Arabidopsis thaliana: one gene and its partner. The protein of the gene in region 1 interacts with the protein of each later gene in a pairwise test. Each region holds a gene or a part of one and is shown in the gene's direction. Other genes may lie near its edges.

What was found.
Region 2: the proteins of UGT87A2 (region 1) and SHD interact in a two-hybrid assay, tested with the Arabidopsis thaliana proteins (one study listed by BioGRID).

The regions. Positions count from the first base shown.
Region 1 is NC_003071.7:12,870,258-12,874,471, forward strand, and holds UGT87A2 (UDP-Glycosyltransferase superfamily protein), read left to right. Parts: upstream 1-1,726; 5' UTR 1,727-1,942; coding exon 1,943-2,438; intron 2,439-2,562; coding exon 2,563-3,434; 3' UTR 3,435-3,609; downstream 3,610-4,214.
Region 2 is NC_003075.7:12,551,022-12,558,226, reverse strand, and holds SHD (Chaperone protein htpG family protein), read left to right. Parts: upstream 1-2,168; 5' UTR 2,169-2,375; coding exon 2,376-2,442; coding exon of another isoform or gene 2,443-2,446; intron 2,447-2,546; coding exon 2,547-2,664; intron 2,665-2,746; coding exon 2,747-2,900; intron 2,901-2,991; coding exon 2,992-3,072; intron 3,073-3,238; coding exon 3,239-3,350; intron 3,351-3,435; coding exon 3,436-3,562; intron 3,563-3,655; coding exon 3,656-3,794; intron 3,795-4,012; coding exon 4,013-4,127; intron 4,128-4,231; coding exon 4,232-4,425; intron 4,426-4,514; coding exon 4,515-4,730; intron 4,731-4,812; coding exon 4,813-4,978; intron 4,979-5,098; coding exon 5,099-5,240; intron 5,241-5,324; coding exon 5,325-5,475; intron 5,476-5,552; coding exon 5,553-5,957; intron 5,958-6,040; coding exon 6,041-6,325; 3' UTR 6,326-6,675; downstream 6,676-7,205. Other genes in the region: AT4G24200 (Transcription elongation factor (TFIIS) family protein), read left to right, coding at 1-1,300; TLP1 (THAUMATIN-LIKE PROTEIN 1), read left to right, coding at 7,006-7,075, 7,159-7,205. UniProt on the Arabidopsis thaliana protein: May have a molecular chaperone role in the processing of secreted materials. Required for shoot apical meristem (SAM), root apical meristem (RAM) and floral meristem (FM) formation, probably by regulating the folding of CLAVATA proteins (CLVs).

The DNA.
Region 1 (4,214 bases):
AAACCTCAAGTTGCAAACTACATTTTATTCAAAAAGAAAATCTACATGATTCAACCTTTACAATTTGACTCACAATAGATTTATTCGACCGACCTGATTTGATTAATCATAAGCTACACGTTAGAACACAAAGTCGCCTCTACTGTTGCTTTTGTACTAATCCTTAAAAAAATCATATAGATTTAATTCACCAAAATTAAGTTAGGAAAGAAGAGGTGGTGGTGTTGAATTTGATTATGTTATCTATTGATAGTATTCATGTGATCAGTAGACGAAAAATTTTCAAAATATTGCCTGTCGACATGGGAAGAATCGAATGACTAAAAAAATAATCGATCATGTTCTTTAATTTCAAATTTAATTATATATCTATATAAATACCCTTAACTTGTTTTTGACGATCCTACCAAGCCAGAGAACTTATAACTGTCATATTCATACCATATGCTATATAATTAGTGGGATATAATACTCTATCTTTAACTTTACGCGTAACAACTTTTTAATTAGGATTTAGGAATAAGAACCTTTCTTTTGTTTGTTAAAAAATTCTTTCTCTTTCTCTCTCAATTTTTTCACTATATAAATTATTAAGTTAGACGCATGTATATGTCTTTTTACTAACACGTAGACCGGTAGACGTCCATGTGCTCCATGCACGTGTGTAAATACATCTTTTTTTGCCATGTGTGAACTAATTTTTTTAATTTGCCAAGCCAAAGTTATAATTAATTAAATAGCAGAAAGAGTCTTAAGAGAAATAATATGATTATAATGGCAGAAGAAAAGTTAAGATTTACAGATACATCCAATAGTGTATAGCCGCTTAATTAATTTATCCACACCTCAACGAAAATTTCCGTTGGTGCGCTAACGAATTCAGGCTGTGAAGTTAAAAGAAAATAAACAAAATTATAGCTTCACATAAGCGATCGATCTTCAAACTCTACACATGACAGAAGCAAATAACTAAATTAAATAGCGTAAATTTTGTAATAATACTAGAAAACCTAAAAACCAAATGTAAAAAACCTTATGGGAAAAAATGTGATAAAGCACCTAAACCATAGAATAACTTAAAATTTCAATTTCCCAATCAAGGTATGATATAAAAACCATGGAAAACAAATTCTCAGCCATATTTCTATCTGACCGAGTCTTTTTCAAAATAATATATAGACGGTAGAGTCTTATATAGTAAAAACATTTTTTTAAAACTAATTTATCTTCTCATATGAAAATGAATGCAAATAAAAATGACCATATATGCTGTAATGATATTCAAGGAAGAGATATCACAACAAGGTCGAAGAAATATACAATATCTGAAAGTCGACTATATGGTCCACTTTCCAAATTAGAGATGGAAAGAAGAAACGATTATGCAGCAAACCCATTGATCGGACGAAGAAAGAATAAATATGGAGGCCCATTACTATAGTATTTGGCCTTGAAATATTTTGGTCCGAGAAATAATAAATAAACAGTTATGGCTTTTCGGATTTGGTTGCTTTCAATTTTCTCAAATGTTTGGACAAGTGTTATTACACTCACCTAAAACAGGATCATTCCAATTTCTTGGGCTCAGAGTCTGTACTTTCTTCTTCTTTAAACCAAGGTCTTATAAGTATTCTCTAAACCAAGTCACTAAACAATAATTGGTCTTGGGTCTGGTTCAAACTTGGATCAATGTTGCCACATAGCCATTAGCCACACAAAACAAAAATTGTCTTGCCTTTATATGGAATGAAGAAAAATCGAATTTTGTAACCATTTTTGACTTTAAAGTCACACTCGCCGTATACGGCACACCAAATGACCAAAAACATTTGACCACCAACTTTGCTTTAATGTTAAAACTTTTTTTTTGCATCCCACTACTCTCTTCTTCACCTCCTCAAGTCACAGTGACCAAAATCACACACTTCACAAGAAACAACCTATGGATCCAAATGAATCTCCACCAAACCAATTTCGCCACGTGGTGGCCATGCCTTATCCAGGTCGAGGACACATCAACCCTATGATGAACCTCTGCAAACGCCTTGTCCGTCGATACCCTAACCTTCACGTCACCTTCGTCGTCACAGAAGAATGGCTCGGGTTTATTGGACCCGACCCGAAACCCGACCGGATCCATTTCTCCACTCTCCCTAATCTCATCCCTTCCGAGCTTGTCAGGGCCAAAGACTTCATAGGCTTCATTGATGCCGTCTACACAAGATTGGAAGAACCATTCGAGAAGCTTCTTGACAGCCTCAATTCACCACCTCCGAGTGTAATATTCGCCGACACTTACGTCATTTGGGCTGTGCGAGTCGGCAGAAAAAGGAATATTCCGGTGGTTTCTCTCTGGACCATGTCAGCCACGATTCTCTCCTTCTTCCTCCACTCTGATCTACTCATAAGTCATGGCCATGCTCTGTTCGAACCATCAGGTAAAGCATCAGTGAATTAGTTTTGATTCTTGAAACTTGGTATATATTGATTCTTGTTGAAACTTAATTAGTATTGATTCTTGAAAAGTTAGTATTGATTCTTGGTTTGTTTTGGAATCTAAAGAAGAAGAGGTTGTTGATTACGTCCCCGGTTTATCTCCGACGAAACTCCGAGATTTGCCGCCGATATTTGACGGTTACAGCGACCGAGTCTTCAAGACAGCTAAGTTGTGTTTCGATGAACTACCAGGAGCTAGGTCTTTACTCTTCACCACCGCCTATGAGCTTGAACACAAAGCTATTGACGCTTTCACCTCCAAGCTCGATATCCCGGTCTACGCTATTGGTCCTTTAATACCTTTTGAAGAACTTTCTGTTCAAAATGATAACAAGGAACCTAATTACATCCAGTGGCTTGAGGAACAACCGGAAGGCTCTGTTCTTTACATATCTCAGGGAAGTTTTCTTTCGGTCTCGGAAGCTCAGATGGAGGAAATAGTGAAAGGACTGAGAGAAAGTGGAGTCCGGTTTCTTTGGGTGGCTCGTGGGGGCGAGTTAAAGCTTAAGGAGGCTCTTGAAGGTAGCTTAGGTGTAGTGGTGAGCTGGTGTGATCAGCTTCGGGTGCTGTGTCACAAAGCTGTAGGCGGGTTTTGGACTCATTGCGGGTTTAACTCGACATTGGAAGGGATATATTCAGGAGTACCAATGCTAGCGTTTCCGTTGTTTTGGGATCAGATTCTGAACGCTAAGATGATTGTTGAGGACTGGAGAGTCGGAATGAGGATCGAGAGGACGAAAAAGAATGAGTTGTTGATAGGGAGAGAGGAGATCAAGGAAGTAGTGAAGAGGTTTATGGATAGAGAGAGTGAAGAAGGGAAAGAGATGAGAAGAAGGGCTTGTGACCTTAGTGAAATCAGTCGAGGAGCTGTTGCGAAAAGCGGTTCGTCTAATGTAAACATCGATGAGTTCGTTCGGCATATTACCAATACAAATTAAGGCTCAAAGAGGTTTTATTGTTTCAATACAATGTAAGGCTCAATGGCATGCTCACTAAATCATATGTATCTTTTGAATGACTAAAAAGTAAAAACCACCACCAAATTATAGCTAAATCAATTTCTTACCATATGTCAAAAATTTATAGAAATTCTAATGGTGGGAAAGCTCCCCGCTTATGCATTATGCATCATCATTTTGCTTGCTTATAATCTAAAATGATGCTTTCTCATTAATCAAACCCCAAGACGTCACAAAATACCCAAAACACATCAAAAATACAAGGAAAAGAAAAAGAGAACAAAATTGAAGCAAAACTTAAAACGGGATTTATTATGAGGCCTATCTCTACAATTCACGAAATGATCATACATCTTATTTTTTTGGTAGGTGAGAATAGACAATTGTCTCTCGCAATTTATTAAACTGCAACTAAAAAGAATATTACAACCGAACATGACCTGAGAACTCTGCCTCTAACATAATCGAGTGGACTACATTAGGAGAAGAGTCCAATGAATGAAATTAAACCTAACAGCACTGAAGAAAACACATTGTTATCAAAAAATTTACAACTATGTAGATTTTTTTTGTCAACTAGATTGTTATTCTGTTAGTTATAAACAGAATGATAACAATCTCCCTAATTTGTCTTAATTAAAAAAAAAAAAAAAATTAGCCATGTGTTGTTTTCTTAAACAGTCTGTTTCTTGGGATTAGGTTTTGTTTCTTTAAAAAGCACACCGGTCACTTGAGTGTCTAAAAACGTTATAAAAAACA
Region 2 (7,205 bases), on another chromosome or scaffold:
AACAGCTGCTAAATCTGAAGTAGGCAGAGAGAAAAGCCCATGTGGCTTTGATCTTAATCAAGATATATGTCCTGATGAAACAGATGTCATTATGTCCTCCACATCTACAACCCCTGCTCCTATGTCTGTTTCATTTTCTGTCTCATCTTCTGCAATGCCTGCAGCAGCACCGTGGCATTTGGAAAGATCTCTTAGCGGGAAAGGATCAGCTGCTACGAGTGTATTTCACTCAGCATTACCTCATAAAGTTCCTAGTGGGGATTTAAGAGAAAAGCAGGTGATTTCTCGTGGTATCGATCTGAACGTGGCTGAGGTAGGAGATGATCAAGTTGAAGATCTTACTCCTTGGAAACAGTTTCCTTTCTCCTCATCAAACTCTAGGGGTGGAGAGTCTTCACATGAAGCCAGTCTGCGAGGATCAAGCAAGTTCAACTTGGATTTGAATTGTATGAACGAGGACGATGAGATGCCTCCACCTTCTGAGTCGAAGATGGAAACAAGATTGTTTTTAAGTCACAATGGTCAGCAAAGCGCATCACCTGTCTCCTCATCGTCAGTTGCTCAACAATCAGGCAAGGAAGTAAACTTTGATTTGAATGACAGGCCACAGTTTTTCATTGATTCACGTGATCAGGGTCCCTACTATGGGCGGCACCCATGGAGTACAGCCTCCTATGGGGGGCACAAATTGGAAGAACCAGGTATATCTATCTTGGGTACAAAAGTGGAAGCTGACAGAAAAGACTCTGTACCTCAGATGGCTTCGTTCTTGTCCAATGGCAAGTCCCTCGAGCCTGCAACAGGTTTACACATGGGAAGAACGGGAAACTCTTTGGGTCTAGCCCCTGGTGTCTCCTTTTCTCCAGCCCCTATGTATGGCTACAACGGATTGACTGGTCCTCCTGGTTTGTCAATGTCATCACCCATGTATGTTCCTGGAACTGCTATTCCATACATGGTGGATTCAAGAGGTACCCCAGTGATGATGCCGCAAATAATCGGATCAGCGCCGTATGTGCAGCCACCATTCCCTCAACAACACATGTTCATGAGCTTGGCGGGTGGATCGCCTAGTACGAATGGATCAATGCGGCCAAACTTTGATCAGAACTCTGGGTTTGGACTTGAGATAGGAAACAGAGAGTCGCTAAATTTGAGGCAGTTTCTATCACCTTCACAAAGCGGGGCTATGGGAGAGCATTCAGGAGCAAATGTAGAGCCCTCATCGAGTTCTTCTATCAGCATTGGTGGAAAGCGAAAAGAGCCGGAGCCACGTTGGGAGTTTCCTCCATGGAGGTGAGTGATCTACAAAGTGGTGGAGATGGGTTCTTGAATAGGTTGATGAATTGATTGATTGGTCAAAGGATGATGACAAGTGTTTTGAGGTAACTTATAAAGTGTCTTGCTGAACTTTTCCTTCTTTTTTTTTTATTTCCTCAGTTTTCCCATTTTTCAGGTTTTTTATTTTATTTCATAACATATAGGAGGATTAGTTCAAACATTGGTATATGTCAAGCTTCTTTTTAACCTTGTTGGGTTTTTCTCCATAAATAAATATATAGTTTTAAGATACAGAAAAGGTTCTAGTGGTTTGATTAATCTGTTGCGTCCATTTTCGTTCCATTCGTCGATATGTTATGCTCTCATTTCTGAACAACTGTTCATGGAAGAAAGCAGCGAAGGAGGTCTCTGGTGAGGAAGGAAGTCTCTCACGTGTTGTATCTTTCAATAAATAATGGGACCAAATAGACATTACCATTTTTGAACCGCGCATACATATTGCTACTACGGATGAGTGATGACTATGATCTTCCCAAATTGACAAATTGTATCGCCTTTAGGCGAGACTTTAGCCATCAACCGATTAAAGCCAGCCAAACGTAATAACCTTGGCAAGCATAATCATCGTTGTACAAAGAAAAACATCATTTTACTTTTGTATCCGACATCAATAAAAGCATAGCATCCTAATATCCAATAGTTATTTGTCACATGTAAAACAACTAAATATAGCCGTCCGATCGTCCCAATTAGGACGTAAACGAATATCACCGTTGATTTAGCATACTTTGATAATTTAAAAGTCGTCCATCCACGCCACAACCCCGAAATCCACGTCGCTCCACGTCAAGAACAAAACCTTGCTCCAATACAAAACTACCACGTGGCTATCTCACAATACGATCCGTTAGATCTGACACGTTGGCAAATCATGACGAAGCTAACCAATCAGGAGAAACTAAAGTGTACGCAACTAAACAGTTCACACATCACTGAATCATTTCCTATTATATACGGATCTATCGAGCTGAATCATCATCATCACTGAGTAACCCGAAAGCAAAGACTGAGAGAACCAAGGCTCCGATCTAACAATGAGGAAGAGGACGCTCGTGTCCGTTTTGTTCCTTTTCTCGCTTCTGTTTCTTCTTCCAGATCAAGGTACGTTTCGATGTATATATGTGTTGATTTTGAGTAGATAGATATAAGTGTTGCTTAGGATTCATATGCTGATGATGGCGATATTTCTGTGGTGTTTATCATAGGAAGAAAGTTACACGCGAATGCAGAAGAGAGTTCCGATGATGTTACAGATCCACCAAAAGTTGAGGAGAAAATTGGTGGTCACGGTGGTTTATCGACGGATTCCGATGTAGTTCATAGGTTAGTGTTCTGTTAGTTTCACGGTAGAACTTTCGCTTGGATTGCTTGAATCTTGCCTTATTCGAATTCGTTTGATCGACAGAGAGTCTGAGTCGATGTCAAAGAAGACGCTTCGCAGTAACGCGGAGAAGTTTGAGTTCCAAGCTGAGGTTTCTCGGCTTATGGACATTATTATCAACTCTCTATACAGTAACAAGGACATTTTCTTAAGAGAGTTGATCTCCAATGCTTCTGATGTAAGCAGCTTCGTGTACATTGTTTTAGTGAGTTTTTGGGATACCTCGTTAAATAGGGGAACTAATAAGTGTCTGTGTTGGTGATTTTCAGGCCTTGGACAAAATTAGGTTCCTTGCACTCACTGACAAAGACGTTTTGGGTGAAGGTGACACTGCTAAGCTTGAGATCCAGGTTAGCTACATGTTTCTCAATATGATTTTTATGCTTGAGAGTGTTGAAAATAGAGTTTCATCGATTTGTTTTATCAAATGCTGATCTCAGTAAATTTAGCCTTTCGTTGGAATTGTGTCTAGTGTAAGCTTTTTTCTTACCTCCGTAACTATGCTATGGTATGCAGATTAAGCTAGACAAAGCCAAGAAGATTCTTTCTATTCGAGACCGGGGAATTGGTATGACTAAGGAAGACTTAATCAAGAACCTTGGTACCATAGCAAAATCTGGAACGTCAGGTACGTTACTTATGTGGTGATACGTTGTCCTGCATAATAGTATGGATCAATAAATTCCATATTTCTAAGATCTTGCCTTTCGCAGCTTTTGTTGAGAAAATGCAATCAAGTGGGGATTTGAACCTTATTGGACAATTTGGAGTTGGATTCTACTCTGCCTATCTTGTTGCTGACTACATTGAAGTCATTAGCAAGCACAATGATGACAGCCAGTAAGTTGATTTAGAGGGCTTTGTTTGGCAATATACTTGTGGGCATGTAAAATCATTGAAAAGCTTTTCTGATAACTTCTTTTCCGTTTTCAGGTATGTATGGGAATCAAAGGCTAACGGTAAATTTGCTGTTTCCGAGGATACATGGAATGAGCCTCTTGGACGTGGAACCGAGATTAGATTACATCTTAGGGATGAAGCTGGCGAGTACCTAGAAGAAAGTAAACTTAAGGTGGGTAATATTTTGATAAGAAAGTAAATTTCTCTTTTGTTACAAACCTAAATTAAGCAATGCAAAGAACCAGAATAACCCAGGGTTTGTTGTAGAGAACCCCAAACTCTCCTGAGGGGAAGTGGTTCAGCATTATTATGAATTCAGTGCACTGCTTATTCAATATTTCTGTTTATCCTCTCATTATGGTTGCTAATGATCATTGTTGTCTACTACAGGAATTGGTGAAGAGATATTCTGAATTCATTAACTTCCCTATCTCCCTCTGGGCTAGCAAAGAGGTTGAAACCGAGGTCCCAGTTGAGGAAGATGAATCAGCTGATGAGGAAACTGGTGAGTATTAATGAAACACCATATTATAATTTTCTGCTGCAGTGTTATCTTTTTTCCCTTCAGTTTAGGCAGCCCTGATTTTTGGTAATGGTACTTGACTTCAGAAACCACCTCTACCGAGGAAGAAAAGGAAGAAGATGCTGAGGAGGAAGATGGTGAGAAAAAGCAGAAAACCAAGAAGGTGAAAGAAACAGTTTATGAATGGGAGCTTCTGAATGATGTTAAGGCTATATGGCTGAGAAGTCCAAAGGAGGTGACAGAGGAAGAGTACACTAAATTCTACCACTCTCTCTCAAAGGTGAAAACCATGCGTTAACTAAATCATACTTGTTACATACTAGGTGTAAAATTTTCGTGTGGATTTCCCTGACCCCAGTTGTTATACAGGATTTTACCGACGAGAAGCCAATGGCTTGGAGTCACTTTAATGCTGAAGGTGATGTTGAATTCAAGGCTGTGTTGTATGTTCCTCCGAAAGCTCCCCATGATCTATACGAGAGCTATTACAACAGCAACAAGGCGAACTTGAAGCTATATGTCAGGAGGGTGTTCATCTCAGATGAATTTGATGAGCTTCTGCCTAAGTATTTGAGTTTCTTGAAGGTAAACTACTTGAAAGACAAACTAAGGGGTTCTTTCAATACAAATTTATGGGCTAAATCCCTAACGTGAGTTGCTTTTGCAGGGTCTTGTTGACTCTGACACATTGCCTCTAAATGTATCAAGAGAAATGCTTCAACAACACAGCAGCTTAAAGACAATTAAGAAGAAGCTTATCCGAAAGGCGCTTGATATGATCCGCAAGCTTGCTGAAGAAGATCCTGATGAAATCCATGATGATGAGAAAAAAGGTATTCCATAAAACAAGTTTCTTGGTATCAATCCACTTTGACCGTTCCACTTTTTTTTACCATTTGGTAGCTTCATCTTTCTGAAACATGGTCTAAGCTTATTGACTTGTTGGCACGCAGATGTGGAGAAGTCTGGTGAGAACGATGAGAAGAAGGGTCAATACACAAAATTCTGGAACGAGTTTGGCAAGTCTGTCAAACTAGGTATCATTGAGGATGCTGCTAACAGGAACCGCTTGGCAAAACTTCTTCGTTTTGAGACGTAAGCTCTGTTACTTTTTTTTTAATACACGTCTGTCCATTCATTAGCACCAGCAGGCTAAAGATTTGTATTTTGCTATTTCAGAACAAAGTCCGATGGAAAATTGACTTCCCTGGATCAGTACATTAAGAGAATGAAAAAGAGCCAAAAGGACATATTTTACATCACAGGAAGCAGCAAGGAACAGCTAGAGAAATCTCCATTCCTGGAGAGGCTCATCAAGAAGGGCTATGAGGTTTGCATTGCACACGAATAATTCTTCTTTAAATGATCTCCAACTCGCATAACACGTTCTCATACTTGTGTTCCCAGGTCATCTTCTTCACAGACCCAGTTGATGAATACTTGATGCAATACCTGATGGATTACGAAGACAAAAAGTTCCAGAATGTGTCCAAGGAAGGACTGAAGGTTGGGAAAGATTCAAAAGACAAGGAGCTGAAGGAAGCATTCAAGGAGCTAACAAAGTGGTGGAAAGGAAATCTCGCTAGCGAAAACGTAGACGATGTCAAAATCAGCAACCGTTTGGCTGACACTCCATGTGTAGTCGTAACATCCAAGTTTGGATGGAGTGCTAATATGGAGAGGATCATGCAGTCCCAAACTCTCTCGGATGCTAATAAGCAAGCTTACATGCGCGGAAAGAGAGTCCTCGAGATCAACCCACGACACCCTATCATCAAAGAACTCAAGGATAGAATTGCAAGTGACCCAGAGGTAAAACAAACATAAGACCCATCAATTCTTTTTTTTACTTACTGTCTATTAGAGAAATAAACTAACATACCAAATTCTCTCAGGATGAGAGTGTGAAGGAAACAGCACAGCTCATGTACCAGACAGCTTTGATCGAGAGTGGATTCATACTCACCGACCCAAAAGACTTTGCTGCCCGTATTTATAACTCAGTCAAGAGCGGTCTGAACATCAGCCCTGATGCAGTAGCCGACGAGGAAATCGAGGCAGCAGAGGAACCAGAGACCAGTGAGGCAACTGAGACGAAATCAGATGACTTGGCTGGTGGTCTAAACATTGAAGCCGAACCCGTTGAGCAACAAGAAGAGAACACCAAGGACGAACTGTAGATTTCACTTCTGATGTTTCTCCTTTGTGTTTACCTCTTTAGTTTAAAGCAGAACATCGTTTTACTCGAATATCAAGATTAGTTTAATTAAGCAGTTTTTGATGGATTATGTAAACGCACTACTTGCATTCTAGAGATCAAGGAACCTAAACTTCTTCTTTTCAATGTATGAGTTTTTTATCTTTCAAGATTAATGGTCCTGCTGTCCGAGTTTATCTAGATTGTCCGAGTTTATCTAGATATGGTACCATAATATGCACTCTCTTTAGCTAATTTGGCCACCTATCATGCATATATTACTCGGTGTTATTTTCCACAAAATTTATTTTCGAAAACTTATGACTTTTGCAAAAATTTCAAACAGATAATCTGTAAAGCTATAGATTTTATATGGAAAAAGACTTTAATCAATATATTCGTGATAACATGGCTTTTCAAGATGTTGTTTTATCTTGTATCACTTTAAAACATAAAAGAAATTGGTCAATACTTTTGTGAGATCATCACATATCTTGAGCTTGACCCTTGAGACAACGTATATATAGAGGTGCTTTAAACTCTACTCTTGGTCTTTCTTTTTCCTCTTTTCTCTCTTGGTCTTTCGTTTTGTGAATATTCCAAACTTAATTTCTCCACCAAAAGTACTTTTTTTTTTTAATAGAGAGACAAAAATAAACAGTGATGATCATAACAGTCCTTCATTCTCATGTCTCATTCTATTTCATCATCCTTAGCTTCCTCTTCTTCCATGGTACGTAATATTCATATCTATCATACTTTCATATCAGTATGAATATTTCTATATAAAATGTAAATATTAACATATAGCTAAAGCATTGCATTTGGTAGGAAGTGATGGTGCTACAATAACCATCGTAAAT